4 linked regions of the Schizosaccharomyces pombe genome follow. Changing the gene in region 1 together with any one later gene gives a genetic interaction. Each region holds a gene or a part of one and is shown in the gene's direction. Other genes may lie near its edges.

Region 1 (3,285 bases):
CTCCTAGGATAATTTATTACTTCGTTTACTTCAGTCGAAGCAATTAGATGGCTCACCTCACTTGGGAATGAAGAAATCCAGCTCTGATAACGTGGATTTTTGTATACTTCTGGTGTAACCGAATGAATGACACAAACAGGTTTAGGTGCATTTGTCCATTTATGATTTTCAATGACCAAGTCAATTACGAGTTCGTTGGGGCAATGAATAATAAAAAAGGAGGAGCCAGGAATAGAAGGACCAATCACTTCTTTTGGATATACTGTTTTTCCGTTTTCAAGAGTTACAGGTTCTCCTCGAGCGAGTCTACCACAGTCTAATCCTTTCGTGATACCAAGCGATTTTGCTTTTGCGGCGTCAAATTTCCCTGGGGTAGGATGGGATTGAACAATATAAGAAATAAACAGCTCTGGCTTGTCTGGTTCCAAAGGAGCCGGAGTGTTATACATTGCATTCTCAACGACGAATGATGTATCATTGGAAACGTGAGAATACCAATGAGGAGAAGTATTTGCTCTATCCTCTTTTAATGGTCTTGCATTTGTACCTCTGTTAATGTTTTCATGCTTCCTTTTTTTAAAAGAATTTTTAACTAGTGAAACAACTACCGGAGTTACACAAATATTTTCATCAACGAATACTGGGGCCTCAGCCGAAGTATATCCCTGTACCGTTAAATTTACATTCGTATGATAAGTGAAATGCCGCATCGAAGATAAAAACTGATGAACTTCACTAGGTCCATGAAGGACAAAAGGACTAGCTTCTCCGGTTTCCCCAGGTTCCGAAATATCATTGAGAGACAGCAAAAAGCCTATTGTCAGAAATTATTAAATATATTTAACACTTACCTGGAAACCCACCACAAGAATCCCACCATGTAGGATAGTTTACAGTCGAGCACATACTATTACGTTCAGATACAATAACTTTGTCCCGATCATCCAGCTGTAGCATATCAGAAACAGAGGTAGTAGACGATGAAGAAGAAGAATCATATGTATCTGGTGATGATATTGAAGATCCTTGCATTAAGAAGACATCTTTAATCTTTGATAATCGAAGCTGTTGGGAGAGTATAGCTCTTTGACAACCTTCCCCTACGCTTCCAAATACATACCTCTTAGAATCAAAAAATAAGTGGATGCAGGGAATACAAGATGTATCCCGAGAACTGACGCTCACAAATTGTAAATAGAAATTTTTTGTTGCCCTAAAATTAACAGTTTTCGACATTTAACACGACCTGAAAAAGAAAAAGGAAAAGGTTCAATATGAATAAAAAAAAAAGGGTCCGAAATCTAAGTTAACAAAAACAAAAGTAAGTAAAGGGGCCTAAAATACTAATAGCTACTCAGTACCAATTTTCGAACTCAACTGGATACTAAGAGTAAGAGGTTTCGGATTTCACAAAATGTTTCATATAACATTGATTTAGATGTATGAAAGAAGCAGTTAACTCGTAGTTGAAACCTACAAACCAGCTGTTGTAGAAGAAAAATTGCTGCTTTTGGTGTATACTTTCGTAAGTCCTTAACGCAACTACGTATTCCCATCACAAATGTTTGCAATTTAAATAAGGTTTAAAAATAAGCGAAGATCATTGAAGCGAAAATTGTATTTGACATTTCGGTATATCTTGCGTAACGAAACCTAACGTTTAATTTTAGTGCATTATAGTAGAATGCAGTAAATGCAGTCGTGGAATGTAAGCGCTTCTTTGAAATATGCTTACTTAACACTACTCTGTAATATTTAATACACACAAGTAAACTATGGGAAATGACGGTAGGATTCGTTTATTTTGCTTCTAAATTTTAACATGTTTTAGGAGGATCATTACCAACCCGAAACGAATTAGTGAAAGAGCCTGGCAAAGTACCGCCGCTTGATATAGACTTTAAACGTTCTGTAAAATCTTCTCAATTTTCTCAGTGTGCCATTACGGATGAGCCCTTATACCCTCCAATTGTATCGTGTGGTTTAGGAAAACTGTATAACAAAGCAAGCATTTTACAAATGCTGTTAGATAGGTCAAGTGTTCCGAAAAGCCCTTCTCATATAAAATCACTGAAAGACGTGGTACAACTTCAAGTTGAGCTGGATGATTCCGGTAAAGTGCTATGGTTATGCCCGATTACAAGACATGTAATGTCTGATACATACCAATTCGCCTACATAGTGCCTTGCGGTCATGTATTTGAATACTCTGCCTTGAAGCAGTTTGGCGAGAAAATGTGTTTTCAAGTAAGTCTATCGATAGCTAAGAAAAGCATTTCCAACCCTTGAGTTATTGCTAACACAACATCAGTGTAATCAGGTCTACGAGGAAAAAGACGTTATTCCCATCAACCCGAATGCTGAGCAATTAAAAACATTAAGTAAACGCCTTCTTGATCTCGCATTATCTGAAAAGACTCACAGTTTAAATAAGGTACTTCACAGAATTTTCAAAATTCGGCAATGACTAACATACTTAGGCTTCAAAGAAATCAAATAAAAACGGCGATAAAAAACGAAAACATGTTTCAAAATCAAATAGCAAGCACGCTAAGCATGAATTGCGGACAAATAGAATGTTGGATGGAGAAAACGTAAAATCTGAGACCAGTGTAACTGACATGGAACGTGTAAAAAGGGTGAAGATTTGAGGGACGCTTTATTTATGGGTAAATTAATACACACATACATTTATCTTTTAAAAAAAAATCTACTATGTACATTTAAATAGGATTTTTTTATCATAAACAATGTTTTTAAATTAATGCAACGAACGATTAAATTTATTGAAGTAAAGTGAAAGTTATATCGCTTAAATAAGTAAAGCATTCTATTTCTAAATAAGCTTTTCGACGAATGGCTTCACGTTGTGGATGCATTTTTTTATTAATCAGTGCAATCACTCCAACCAAGCTTTTAAAGGTGACAGAAAATAATCCCAAAGGCTAAGCTTAACACAAAAGTGCTTAGCCCAATAGAATTAAGGCTTTTAGAAAGAGAAAATGTCAAAAAAAAGGTATTGAATTATAAGAGGTAAAATCAAAGAGAATGCACAAAGTAAGCTTGCAGATCTAAGGTCGAGGATGTTCAGATTGAAACCATCCTGATTAAAAATAGAAAATTTGGTAAACAGAAAATATGAAAATAGGATAACCCTGTGTTTATTGAAGCTTCTTTGCAGCCCTTCTTTGCTCAACATCCATTTTAACCAAGGCATTGGCAGCATTCACCAGCTGAACAACGTTAATAATTTGTTTGGCAAGGCAAATAGGACCACATAAAACG
Region 2 (3,593 bases), on another chromosome or scaffold:
GTAGTAGTAGTAGTAGCAGTACGTTGGTTGAATGGGCAAAACCGAAAGACGCGACTACCAGCATGTCGATGACAGCCGGGAATGTCGTATTTGGTAATAATTCTTTAAATATTCGGTTTTGCTAATCTAATTTAGTTGGTAACATTCCATATGATGTTTCGGAACAGCAAATGACTGAAATCTTTAATCAAGTTGGACCAGTAAAGACTTTCAAACTTGTACTTGATCCGGAAACAGGTAGTGGGAAGGGTTATGGGTTTTGTGAGTTTTTTGATAGTGAGACTACCGCTATGGCTGTACGAAAGTTAAATAATTCCGAATTAGGACCTCGTAAGATTCGTGTCGAGTTTCCATCAAATGATCCCAGAAGGAATCAAAGTTATGAATATACGGAGCGTACTGATAGATACATGGAACAGCAAAATGCTCATGAAAGTTCTTATAATTCCCGTTTTATTCCTCCTGTTTTGCATTCAACATCTTCCCTGCCTGCTTCACAAGGAGGTGGGATGCCAAGTCCTGCTATTTATTCGTCGTCAATGGCTACTAATCTTAATAAAAATATAAATTCTACTTCTGTTCCTGCTTATAATTTTCACAACAGTATGACCTCCGACTTTGATTCTGCCAGTCAACCCCATACAGATGCATACAATGCAAGAACCTTTCAGTATAATAAATCTTCACAAAACAAAGGGGATTACACTTCCGGGACTTCTATATCGAATCCGACTTCTATCCCATTGGCCCCGTCTGTCGTTCAGGTACTATCTACCTTCTCAGCTCAGGAACTTCTCAATATGTTGTCCAAACTTCAGACTGTAGTTCATATAGCACCAGAAGAGGCACGACGACTTCTAATTGCTAATCCTGCTTTACCATACGCCGCCTTTCAAGCTATGTTGCTGATGAACTTAGTTGACGCAAATGTCTTACAACAAGTAGTAGTCGCAGTGAAGAATAAAAACATGCATCAACCAGCTTCAGCAACTTCCTCTCCTCCTTCTGTTCCCCAAAAAATACCTTCTAGTAACCATAAAAGTCAACAAGCGAATGGTTCAGATCAGGGCAATGAAGGGAAGCGGGTACGTTTTTTTTTTTTTTTTTGCACTAACAAAACAGATGGCCCTCATACAACAATTGTTGGCTCTTACCCCAGAGCAAATTAACGCATTACCTCCTGCACAAAGGGATCAAATTCTTAGCATTCGTCGGCAGCATTTTCGACAGTAAGTCTAATTTTAGTAATATCAAGAGATTAAATATTAGCATTTGACCAAGTACTTAAATTTGGTGTGCAAGATAATTTATTTACAACACTATAAACCATATCCTAGCACTGATACCTTTTCATACTACACACTTCTTTATACTATTCGGATGTTTTGCTTCTCATAAATATTTGTTTCTATACGCGTTATGGAGGGCTATTTCTTGGATCCTTTATTCAATATCCTTTTATAAAAATTTACTCAATCAATATTTCATATTAAAATTTATTATTTTTTATATTTTAAACTGCCCTTTTGATCGTAAATATATTATAAAAATGTAGGTGGTAACATCAACTGATACTTCTCAAATAAATATGCAACTCATAAATTCCCAAAAAGTTCAATTTCTTAAAAAAAATTTAGATCACAGGTTTAAAATTGTAGTTCAATTTTTCCAACTACGAAGTGTCAGCACTGGCTCATGCAAGCTTCCAAGTACAGACTACATAATTACAGTTTAGGAAATTGAAAACCATCGAAAATGAATAATCCTATGGAAGAACAGCAAAGCGCATTATTAGGAAGGATCATAAGTAATGTAGAAAAGCTGAATGAAAGTATTACAAGACTCAATCATTCATTACAGGTAAGATTACGACGTCAAATATTTGTGTACATATCAACTTTCCGCTGACATTCTTAAAGCTAATTAATATGTCTAATATGAATGTTGAGCTAGCTAGTCAAATGTGGGCGAATTATGCAAGAAACGTAAAATTCCACTTGGAAGAGACCCATACGCTTAAAGATCCCATCTAAAGTTATATGATGTTCTTTAATATTTGTGCTAACGAAATTTGCTATAAAGCACAAGCAAAATTAATATAACAAGGATTGCAATTATTGCTGTCGTGAAAAATCTGTTCATGGCAAGTCTTTAAAATGAGTTAGTATAAAAGATCATTACATGACGATTCATATCACTATAATAATGTCTATCTGTGTCCTACCTTCTTGCCATTGTCTTCAGAGTTCTTAAACTTCGATCAAGGTGTCCAGACGTATCTCCAAGCTAATTTGGTTAACAAATCTCAAAGAAATTTATACATAGCATAAAAGAAAACTATATTTTTAAACCATGGAGCTAATAAGCTTGGCTAAGATATGCGTATAAATCGCGCATTTTATCTTATCAATCATAGTGATTCATTTATCTATTTTGCAATAATTACTTACCATCTCTAAAGAATGCTCCAATTGATTTCTTTGACCATGAAGATCACGAAGAATGCTAGCACCAATGCCTTCAGTCTCATTCGCAATCCGTTGTGATTCAAGAAGACGCTGTGAAGATTGCTCAAGTCTATTTGTTCCTTGTAACAAACGAGTTCTTTGGTCATAATCTTGATCACTTGCAATATAATCACCGGATGTTTCATCCCTATTTCCAAAAAGGGCTTTCCTATCTGATTTGCCAATTTCTTCCTTCTAAACGAGAAAATTGTTAGTATGAATTTGGTAAATAAAAGTAGATTGTCTCATAGTAATTTCTGTAAAGCTTCAAAAGAAGAATGTTCGATATAGCTAACTTACCAGGTGTCTACGCCACTCCTCCAAAGTTGAACGATAACTACGAATTCTTCCATTTACGAGACCTCTTTCAGAAGTAGGGATACCGGTAATTTCAATTTCCATTTGACCAATCTGCAAGTTAGCCACTTTTTTAAAAACACAAATTATTCCAACATACTACTTCATCAATTTCATTTAAAAGTCTCTGACATGATTGAATAACAGAGTTCTCACCACTTTTACTTAAATCATTAAGTTTTTCTTCGATATCTGCTCGAAGCAAGCTAATTATTAGTAAACTTGTAATGGTATTAGACATACCGATATTCTTGCTCGTACGTCTCCATATTTAACAATTATTAATATTGATATATTAGATTTCTTGAAACTATCGTGTAAACAGTTTCTCAAATGAATTAAAAATAAAATAGGTGTAGGTTAAGATTAAATGGTTACGTTGGGAATCGAATACCCATAACAGGTAGTCATATTAATTAAGGCGTGTGTAGAGAGGAATCTACTAAAGCGAAAGAAAAATACAATGTTAAAAGGAATGAATATTAATTAGATAGTGTACAGTTATTATTCCTATGATTCATCAAACCATTTAGTCAATTCTTCTGATAATTCGTCAAATTCGTTTTTCCAGTATAGTAAGCTAGAACCAGATTCTTCATAAACATCACGTACAATGTAACCGTCCATCTCAGCTTGATAAAGTCTTTCTAACGTTACACCAATGGACCAATGCAACCTCATTGCACATTTCAAAGCCGTAGTGCTAGGATTCATAACTTCCAATATAGC
Region 3 (2,802 bases), 4.1 Mb from region 1:
ATAACTCAATTTACTAGCACATAAAAAGAAAGAAACAGAACATTAAACATAAATATACTCTAAGTAGTTCTAGGACCCAATTTGTCTAGTGCACGTACTCCATACTCCTCCCATTCTGCCTTGGACACCCACATGTGATCGTTTTGAGCCATGATATCTGCCAATACGGCGCCGCCGATAAACACGGCATGACGGCGACGAGGAGCGTCTTCAATCTTAACCTTAAAGTTAGGCAAACGTGCGGGATCTCCATGAAGAACACGCTCAAACCATAACTGTTTTATTTCCTTTTCAAGACGTGAAGGAAGACCGGCATACATACTGCTACCACCTGAGAGAACAATGGCGCGATACAAATACTTGCGAATGTCCACATCAGCTGCTTGGATAGTGTCAAAAATAAATTCACTCAAACCTGGTTGTTCACTACCAACCAGATGAGGTTGAAATAGACATTCTGGACATTCATAACGCTCAGAACCAACTTTAATAACTCTTCCATCAGGAAGGGTGTAATTACGCATTAAAACGGTAGTTTCTTCGCTAAGCTTATGGTCCAATTCCAAATCATAACTAACGTAACAAAGTTTTTCTTTCATCTCGCGAACAGTTTCAAAGTCTGCTGTACGATTGAAAGCATAACCCTTACGAAGAAGTAAGCTAATCAAATAGCGGGTAGCATCCCTACCGGCAACGTCAAGGCGACCAACTAAATGATTTAAAACAACACTTTCATAGACAGGCACAATATGGGTTACACCGTCACCAGAATCAACAACTACACCACTGCTTAATCCCTGTGCGTATAAAGAGAGAACGGCCTGAATGGCGACATAAACACCACCAAAACCATACCGTTCAAACATTGTCTCACACATTTTTTCGCGGTTAGCAACAGGATTCATAGGGGGCTCGGTCAACAAAATTTTCCTACCCCTCGGATCAATTTTTAGTTTTTCAAAGAAAGTGTAATCCCAAAGTTGATTCATCTCTTCAAAATCACGGATAATGCCATTTTCCATGGGATATTTTACTTGAAGTAAAGATCTCACCGCCTCAGCTTCATCACCGACCATAACATCTTTAATTTGAACATTTCCTGTTTTCTCTTCAGCACGTAAAATGGGCCTTCCTACGATGGATGGGAATTGAAAGCGCGGAAAATTGTCTTTAGCATATCCGACCTTGCTAACGTTAGTCACAGTGTAAACAAAGATTTAATTAAACTGATTACCTTCACAAAACCAGTTCCATTATCTAGAACAATGGGAGCAGACTCCATTTTATAAACGTCTCGTGTAGTTGGTGAAAGGTTAGTTCTTAAGTCCACCCCTATGTAATGTACCGGCGGTAACTATCTGCCATATACCGTATGACACAGCAGCACTGCAACTGTAGCAGAGCATTCGGTGATATATCGTAAATATGTAATATCGTAGGAAAGCGAAGTGCAGTAATCTTGAGAATTATAAAACAGAAATGAAGTATCTAAATTAATTTAACAATTGGCTGCAAAAAGAATAGCTCAAAGGTTTTTACGGTTAATGATCTTATCTTCTATTGTACTTAGCATTAGTATCGTTACCCCTTATACTCAAAGCCATAACTGTGCATTTATAATTGTTCGGCAGTAATGTATATTATCGCTTATTAGTTAAAAGATTCTTCGTTTCACATAGTATTACTATTATTTAAAAGAAAAACACGGACTCTATTTGTTTGTTTAATGTGCAGGTAACACTTCGATCGTTTATTATGAGATTGGTATGACTAGGAGCGCTGTGCAAAAATGAAGAATCGCGGAACCGATTTAATAAAGAATTTATTTCTCTAGTAACTAGATGTGTGCATTAAATTGAATACAAGACTTAAACAAAAGAATTATAATTATCGACATATACCATTATTGAATATTTGTCATCTGTTTACTGAAATAAGTGGAGCAATGCAATTTGAGAATAACACATATCGGTTTAAAGATCCTTATTATATTGCTATTACTAAATTAAGGAGTGTAACGTTTCGCAGCTAAAACATTTCGATACAATATTTGATAAAAATAAATGGAGGATAAATACATTTTATTGTCAGCAGGTTGGTTATAATTTTTATTTAATAGCTCAATACTTACGTGTATATAGTGGAAACGTTTAAATCACGTCTGGAAGAACTGCTAATGCAATCGGCCAAAGTACAAAAGCAAACGATGCTTAGAAAGGAATTAGCTTCTTCGATGAATGATATGGCTTCTACGGTACAAGAAGCTTTAAATAAAAAAAAAAGTTCGTAAGGTAAGCACTTGGAGACTCAAAACATTATAGTTCATTATAGATTACGAAGGCAGTTCATTCACTATTGTTTTAATAAGTGTTTGTGAAGTACGACTTGAAGTTTTCATGATAATAAGTTATTATAATCATATAATTTCATTGATGTTTATAGTAAACAATTGTTCATGAAGCGAAAAAAAAAAAACCATTAGAAAACTTCCCTCTGAGCAAATTATGATTACAAGCCTATCGTAAAAAAACCGTCTATGTTATTTGGGACTGTTATTGAGCCAGTATTAGGAATTATCAAAAAAGATACATTCAGGCGTAAGTTACGTCCACTTTTTAGTTTCAGATTCATCAGAAATCGAATAATCGTCACTGGGAGTATGTTTGATATCAAACGTTCTATCAACTCTAATCGAAACCTCGGTGGTTTCTCCTTGCGCAGATGAAGTTTTCATGCTTTGCAATTTCAGAGCTGTACTAGACGCCCATAAACTCGAAAGAGGAAGAGAAATGATTAGCAGAC
Region 4 (6,114 bases), 550 kb from region 1:
GTTCTGCCAATGGTATCCTAGTGCCTGGCGGATTCGGCTCTCGCGGTGTCGAAGGGATGATTGCCGCAGCCAAGTGGGCTCGTGAAAATAATACACCCTACTTGGGCATTTGCCTTGGTATGCAAGTTGCCGTTATTGAATTCGCGAGAAGTGTTTGTGGAATTGAAGGTATGTTTTTTGATGCTTTTATTGGACTCCATTTTAAATTTTTAACTGCCTTCTATTATTTTTGGGATCTATAGATTCCATGCACTTACTAGAGGTTTTTGTCATTTTCCGTTGACTCTAACTGTAGACAAGTGCTACATGAATAGTTAAACAGTTATTATTAATTGGAGCATATTTTTTATTTTGCTTCTTTCAAAAGATTTTTAACTAACATTTCTAGGTGCATTTTCTGAAGAATTCGATAAGGAATGCGAAAACAATGTTGTTGTTTATATGCCTGAGATTGATAAGGATAAACTGGGTGGAACTATGCGTTTGGGATTGAGACCTACCTTTTTCCAACCCAATTCCGAATGGAGTAAACTTCGTAAACTTCATAAGATGGTTGATGAAGTTTTGGAAAGACATCGTCATAGATATGAAATAAATCCTGCGTTTGTAAGCCGTTTGGAACAAGGTGGAATTTCTTTCATCGGAAAAGATGAACGTGGTGAGCGTATGGAAATTATTGAGAAACGTGACCATCCTTACTTTGTTGGCGTACAATACCATCCTGAATATTTATCTAAGCCACTTAAGCCCTCCCCACCGATTTTTGGATTGGTTGCGGCCAGTGCTGGCTTGTTGGATGAATTTATTCAGTCTGGTGAGGAAGTCGAATGGAGCAACTTTTCTCATTTTAACGCTGAATCTGCCTTAGCTGACATGAATGACTCTGTTGAAGTTACTGAAGAAGCCACTGTCGTCACCATCAGTTAGAAGTAGGTTATATGGGATTCCGGGAATTAGGAAATAATGTGTGTTTGTTGGTGTGTTTTTCTTTATCTATAGGAAAAATTGGGTTCTGGGGTGTTGACACTATTTATCAATTGTTGTTCTGCTCAAAAGCTTTCTTTTGATGTATCCAGTAATTTTGCAACTGAACCGTTAGTCTAATTAAGCTTAACGTTATAGAGACTATCTAGAGATATGAAATGACTCTCAGAACTTCTGAGCCATTTTTACGGTTATTATATTGTAGACATTTAGAGTAATGCGTTTTGAATGCTCATTACGTGTGAGTTAATCACAGAGGCTCTGTAACAATGCATGCAAATACTGTGTTTAAAATACAGTACAAATGACATAAATCTATTAGCATATGAGGTGCCGTAGTACTGTATTAATATAGATCGATACTTTTCGAAAAGCGCTATTAAAGTATTTACGTTGATTTGCATAGGTAATAAATATGTCAAGTGTACAAGCATACTTGCAAAAAGCACTTCAGTACGTATCAATCGTTGAAAACTGTAGATAGACTTATATATTTTTATATTCGCTACGCCCTGTCATTGATTTAGCCATTAAAACATTCTAGAAATACCTTACGTAAACTTTGACAGTAATTAAACATTCAAGTTGCAAAAATTATTTCTTAATAAGGTACGAAACTCACCCCAGTTCCTATTGTAAACAACACGGACTCAAAGTTCAAATAATAAGTAGAGCCTCGACATTATTATAACGAACTGTAATTCAGCTACCTTATTTGCCTTTGGCGCAACTCGTTGCGTTGACAGCCATGAATATTTATTTGTACAAAGTTAGGAAACGCGATTGTCTATTGCACGCGTTTCATTTTTAACCATACACCTATGTTTGGTATGGAGCAATTTTGAAAGTCTTCTTCAAACTTCGATTTAATTTTTAGTGAATCCTAGTGGGAGAAAAGACAATAATGGACGATCTGAAAGAATTGGAGTATTTATCCTTGGTATCTAAAGTTGCCTCTGAAATTCGAAATCATACTGGTAAGTAGTAGGCTTTAATACTCATTTTTTTATAAATAATTAACCAAATCTAGGAATTGACGATAATACTCTTGCAGAATTTATTATTAATTTGCATGATCAGTCTAAGAATTACGATGAGTTTAAAAATAATGTCCTTTCATGTGGAGGAGAATTCACCGACAGTTTCCTTCAAAACATAAGTCGATTAATTAAGGAAATTAAGCCTAAAGATGACATTCCCACTGATAATGTAAATAATGGTAGTAACTCGGTCAATGGAGCTTCGCATGATTTAGATAGCAAAGATGTTGACAAACAACACCAAAGAAAGATGTTTCCTGGCTTAAGCATCCCAAATAGCACGAATAATTTAAGGGATAGACCAGCGCTTATGGATAATGCTATGGACGAGCTGGAAGAACTTTCGACGTTGGCCAAAACAAGGAGAAACGATAGGGATTCTAGGAGGGATGAGCGGCATTACCTCAATGGAATAAGGGAACGTAGAGAGAGATCAATTAGTCCCAGTTTTTCGCATCATTCACGTACCTCAATTTCTGGTCAATCACATTCTAGTCGATCATCGCGTGGTCCATTGCTAAATGCTCCAACATTGTATGGAATTTATTCTGGTGTTGTCTCAGGTATTAAGGACTTTGGTGCCTTTGTAACTTTGGACGGCTTTAGAAAGAGAACTGATGGTTTGGTTCATATCTCAAATATCCAATTAAATGGGAGATTGGATCATCCTTCAGAGGCTGTTAGCTATGGACAACCTGTATTTGTAAAAGTTATTAGAATTGATGAATCAGCAAAGCGAATCAGCCTGTCAATGAAGGAGGTGAATCAAGTTACAGGTGAGGATTTGAATCCGGATCAAGTTTCACGTTCTACAAAGAAGGGTAGTGGAGCAAACGCTATTCCATTATCAGCCCAAAATTCTGAAATTGGACATGTGAATCCACTTGAAACGTTCACTTCAAACGGTCGGAAGCGTTTAACATCACCTGAAATATGGGAGTTACAGCAACTTGCTGCATCCGGTGCAATTTCCGCTACGGATATTCCTGAACTCAACGATGGATTCAATACTAATAATGCTGCGGAAATTAATCCCGAAGATGATGAAGACGTAGAAATCGAACTTCGTGAAGAAGAACCTGGATTTCTCGCAGGACAAACCAAAGTTTCATTAAAGCTATCTCCTATAAAAGTTGTAAAGGCCCCGGATGGTTCATTGTCCAGAGCAGCAATGCAAGGGCAGATTTTAGCAAATGATAGACGAGAAATAAGACAAAAGGAGGCAAAATTAAAGAGTGAACAAGAAATGGAAAAGCAAGACTTATCCCTCTCATGGCAAGACACTATGTCGAATCCTCAGGATCGGAAATTTGCCCAAGATGTGCGAGACTCAGCTGCTCGTCAACTTACTTCTGAAACTCCCAGCTGGCGTCAAGCAACACGAAATGCAAATATATCCTACGGTAAAAGAACAACACTGAGCATGAAAGAGCAAAGAGAGGGTCTTCCAGTTTTTAAACTTCGTAAACAGTTTCTCGAGGCTGTCTCAAAAAACCAAATTTTGGTTCTACTCGGTGAAACCGGTTCCGGTAAGACCACTCAAATCACTCAATATCTTGCTGAAGAAGGTTATACCAGTGATAGCAAAATGATAGGTTGTACTCAACCTAGGCGTGTAGCTGCAATGTCTGTTGCCAAACGTGTAGCAGAAGAAGTGGGATGTCGTGTTGGTGAAGAGGTTGGTTACACTATTCGTTTCGAAGATAAGACCAGTAGAATGACCCAAATTAAATATATGACTGATGGTATGCTTCAACGAGAATGTTTAGTTGATCCTCTTTTGTCCAAATATTCTGTAATTATTTTAGATGAAGCACATGAAAGAACCGTTGCAACTGATGTACTTTTTGGACTGTTAAAGGGAACTGTTTTGAAACGGCCAGATTTAAAGCTAATTGTTACTTCAGCCACGCTAGATGCTGAGCGGTTTTCGTCTTATTTCTATAAATGCCCAATTTTTACGATTCCTGGGCGTTCATATCCCGTCGAAATCATGTATACAAAACAACCAGAAGCCGACTATCTTGATGCTGCTTTGATGACTGTTATGCAAATCCACTTGAGCGAAGGACCTGGTGATATATTAGTATTTCTGACAGGTCAAGAAGAAATTGATACTAGTTGTGAAATATTATATGAAAGAAGTAAAATGCTAGGAGATTCGATTCCTGAGCTAGTTATTTTACCTGTTTATTCAGCGCTTCCTTCGGAAATACAAAGTCGTATTTTTGAACCTGCTCCCCCAGGAGGTCGTAAGGTAGTAATTGCAACCAACATTGCTGAAACTAGTTTAACAATTGATGGAATTTATTATGTGGTGGACCCTGGGTTTGTCAAGCAGAGCTGCTTTGATCCAAAACTAGGCATGGATTCTCTAATAGTTACGCCAATTTCTCAAGCACAAGCTAGGCAAAGAAGTGGTCGTGCAGGGCGTACAGGACCCGGAAAATGTTATCGTCTGTATACTGAAAGCGCTTACCGAAACGAAATGTTGCCTTCCCCGATTCCTGAGATACAACGCCAAAATTTGTCGCATACTATTTTGATGTTAAAGGCAATGGGAATTAACGACCTTTTGAATTTTGATTTTATGGATCCTCCACCTGCTCAAACCATGATAGCCGCCTTGCAAAATCTGTATGCACTGTCGGCCTTGGACGATGAGGGATTGCTGACTCCTCTTGGGCGAAAAATGGCAGATTTCCCGATGGAGCCTCAATTGTCAAAAGTATTGATTACTAGCGTAGAATTAGGTTGCTCTGAAGAAATGTTGAGTATTATTGCCATGCTTAGCGTACCTAACATTTGGAGCCGACCAAGGGAGAAGCAGCAAGAAGCTGATCGACAACGAGCACAATTTGCAAATCCTGAGAGTGATCACTTAACCTTACTTAATGTGTATACGACTTGGAAAATGAATCGTTGCTCAGATAATTGGTGTTATGAACATTATATCCAAGCCCGTGGTATGCGTCGAGCTGAAGATGTACGCAAACAGCTTATTCGCCTAATGGATCGGTATCGACACCCAGTTGTTTCATGTGGAAGAAAGAGAGAACTTATTTTACGGGCTTTGTGTTCTGGCTACTTTACCAATGTTGCCAAGCGAGACTCTCACGAGGGATGTTACAAAACGATCGTGGAGAATGCTCCTGTATACATGCATCCTAGTGGAGTTTTATTTGGAAAAGCTGCAGAGTGGGTGATATACCATGAACTGATTCAAACGTCAAAAGAATACATGCACACGGTAAGCACAGTGAATCCAAAATGGCTTGTGGAAGTTGCACCAACATTCTTTAAATTTGCCAATGCAAATCAAGTTTCCAAAACCAAGAAAAATCTCAAGGTGCTACCATTGTACAATCGATTTGAAAAACCCGATGAGTGGAGGATTTCAAAGCAACGAAAGGGAGGTCGTTAATAATTTTGTTGTTTATTATTTATATAAAATGTATTAATTAGATATGTTGTTTTGGTACTACAAAAAGATATGGGGGTCATAAATAAAATCTTTGTTGATATATTCAAAATCGTACTTTGAAGTGTCTTAGCTGGCTATTAGTTCGTGAGACGTTTAGAAAACGAGCAGTATATGTTGGGTTTTAGTTCTGCTTGGTTATGAAAATAGTGGACAGCTTTCCAAGTGCTGCAAAGTACAAGGGTAATTCAAAGTACAAGAGTATTTCATAGTACGAGATGACGCCAAAAATCCCTCTCTACTGTGGAAAGGAAAAAAAAAAAACTGATCACCGGCTAGACCCAAACACTCTTATGATATGGCAGCATACAACGTGTAAATTACTCTCATTCTCGCTCGAAATAACTCTAACCCCTAGCCGAGACAATATTGAGCCATCTGTCGCTTGCCTTAGATCTCTGTGATTGTGCTTACCACCTTAATCAAAGCGCGCGTTAAAATTAATGCCATTCCACGCAATACCACGTAATAATGCTGTTGGCTTACAGTATTGCGTGCCCCGTTACAAAATGATCCGTAATTTTCAGGCGATGGGAATAATAAGGTTGTATAATCCAGAGAAGTAATCGTGTTAAGGAGATTTGAGAGAAATTTGCTTCTCCTGAAAAG

What was found.
Region 2: mutations in rtf2 (region 1) and dad4 together harm fitness more than expected from each alone (negative genetic interaction), as found in Schizosaccharomyces pombe (one large-scale study listed by BioGRID).
Region 3: mutations in rtf2 (region 1) and fta6 together harm fitness more than expected from each alone (negative genetic interaction), as found in Schizosaccharomyces pombe (one large-scale study listed by BioGRID).
Region 4: mutations in rtf2 (region 1) and prp22 together harm fitness more than expected from each alone (negative genetic interaction), as found in Schizosaccharomyces pombe (one large-scale study listed by BioGRID).

What each region holds. Positions count from the first base shown.
Region 1 is NC_003424.3:651,725-655,009, reverse strand, and holds rtf2 (DNA replication termination factor Rtf2), read left to right. Parts: upstream 1-1,737; 5' UTR 1,738-1,775; coding exon 1,776-1,788; intron 1,789-1,831; coding exon 1,832-2,247; exon of another isoform or gene 2,248-2,311; coding exon 2,312-2,434; exon of another isoform or gene 2,435-2,480; coding exon 2,481-2,651; 3' UTR 2,652-2,785; downstream 2,786-3,285. Other genes in the region: 3' tRNA-processing endonuclease tRNAse Z L2 Trz1, read right to left, coding at 1-814, 852-1,236; phosphatidylinositol synthase (CDP-diacylglycerol--inositol 3-phosphatidyltransferase) Pis1, read right to left, coding at 3,162-3,285. UniProt on the Schizosaccharomyces pombe protein: Putative splicing factor that is required for the correct splicing of a subset of pre-mRNAs. Required for the correct splicing of rtf1, a replication termination factor that mediates site-specific replication termination at replication barrier RTS1.
Region 2 is NC_003423.3:4,004,497-4,008,089, reverse strand, and holds dad4 (DASH complex subunit Dad4), read left to right. Parts: upstream 1-1,707; 5' UTR 1,708-1,755; coding exon 1,756-1,860; intron 1,861-1,888; exon of another isoform or gene 1,889-1,919; coding exon 1,920-2,033; 3' UTR 2,034-2,061; coding exon of another isoform or gene 2,062-2,149; 3' UTR 2,150-2,224; coding exon of another isoform or gene 2,225-2,286; 3' UTR 2,287-2,450; coding exon of another isoform or gene 2,451-2,702; 3' UTR 2,703-2,807; coding exon of another isoform or gene 2,808-2,918; 3' UTR 2,919-2,964; downstream 2,965-3,593. Other genes in the region: cleavage and polyadenylation specificity factor complex subunit Ctf1, read left to right, coding at 63-93, 136-1,085, 1,123-1,233; SNARE protein Vti1, read right to left, coding at 2,062-2,149, 2,225-2,286, 2,451-2,702, 2,808-2,918, 2,965-3,070, 3,108-3,133; ESCRT II complex subunit Vps36, read right to left, coding at 3,375-3,593.
Region 3 is NC_003424.3:4,781,535-4,784,336, reverse strand, and holds fta6 (protein Fta6), read left to right. Parts: upstream 1-2,030; 5' UTR 2,031-2,063; coding exon 2,064-2,094; intron 2,095-2,141; coding exon 2,142-2,290; downstream 2,291-2,802. Other genes in the region: ARP2/3 actin-organizing complex actin-related protein subunit Arp2, read right to left, coding at 60-1,184, 1,235-1,282; pheromone p-factor receptor Mam2, read right to left, coding at 2,603-2,802. UniProt on the Schizosaccharomyces pombe protein: Component of the kinetochore, a multiprotein complex that assembles on centromeric DNA and attaches chromosomes to spindle microtubules, mediating chromosome segregation and sister chromatid segregation during meiosis and mitosis.
Region 4 is NC_003424.3:1,206,259-1,212,372, reverse strand, and holds prp22 (ATP-dependent RNA helicase, spliceosomal Prp22), read left to right. Parts: upstream 1-1,793; 5' UTR 1,794-1,888; coding exon 1,889-1,961; exon of another isoform or gene 1,962-2,014; coding exon 2,015-5,448; 3' UTR 5,449-5,561; downstream 5,562-6,114. Other genes in the region: CTP synthase Cts1, read left to right, coding at 1-168, 389-927. UniProt on the Schizosaccharomyces pombe protein: Acts late in the splicing of pre-mRNA. Required for the splicing of introns with a branch nucleotide to 3'-splice site distance greater or equal to 15. Mediates the release of the spliced mRNA from spliceosomes.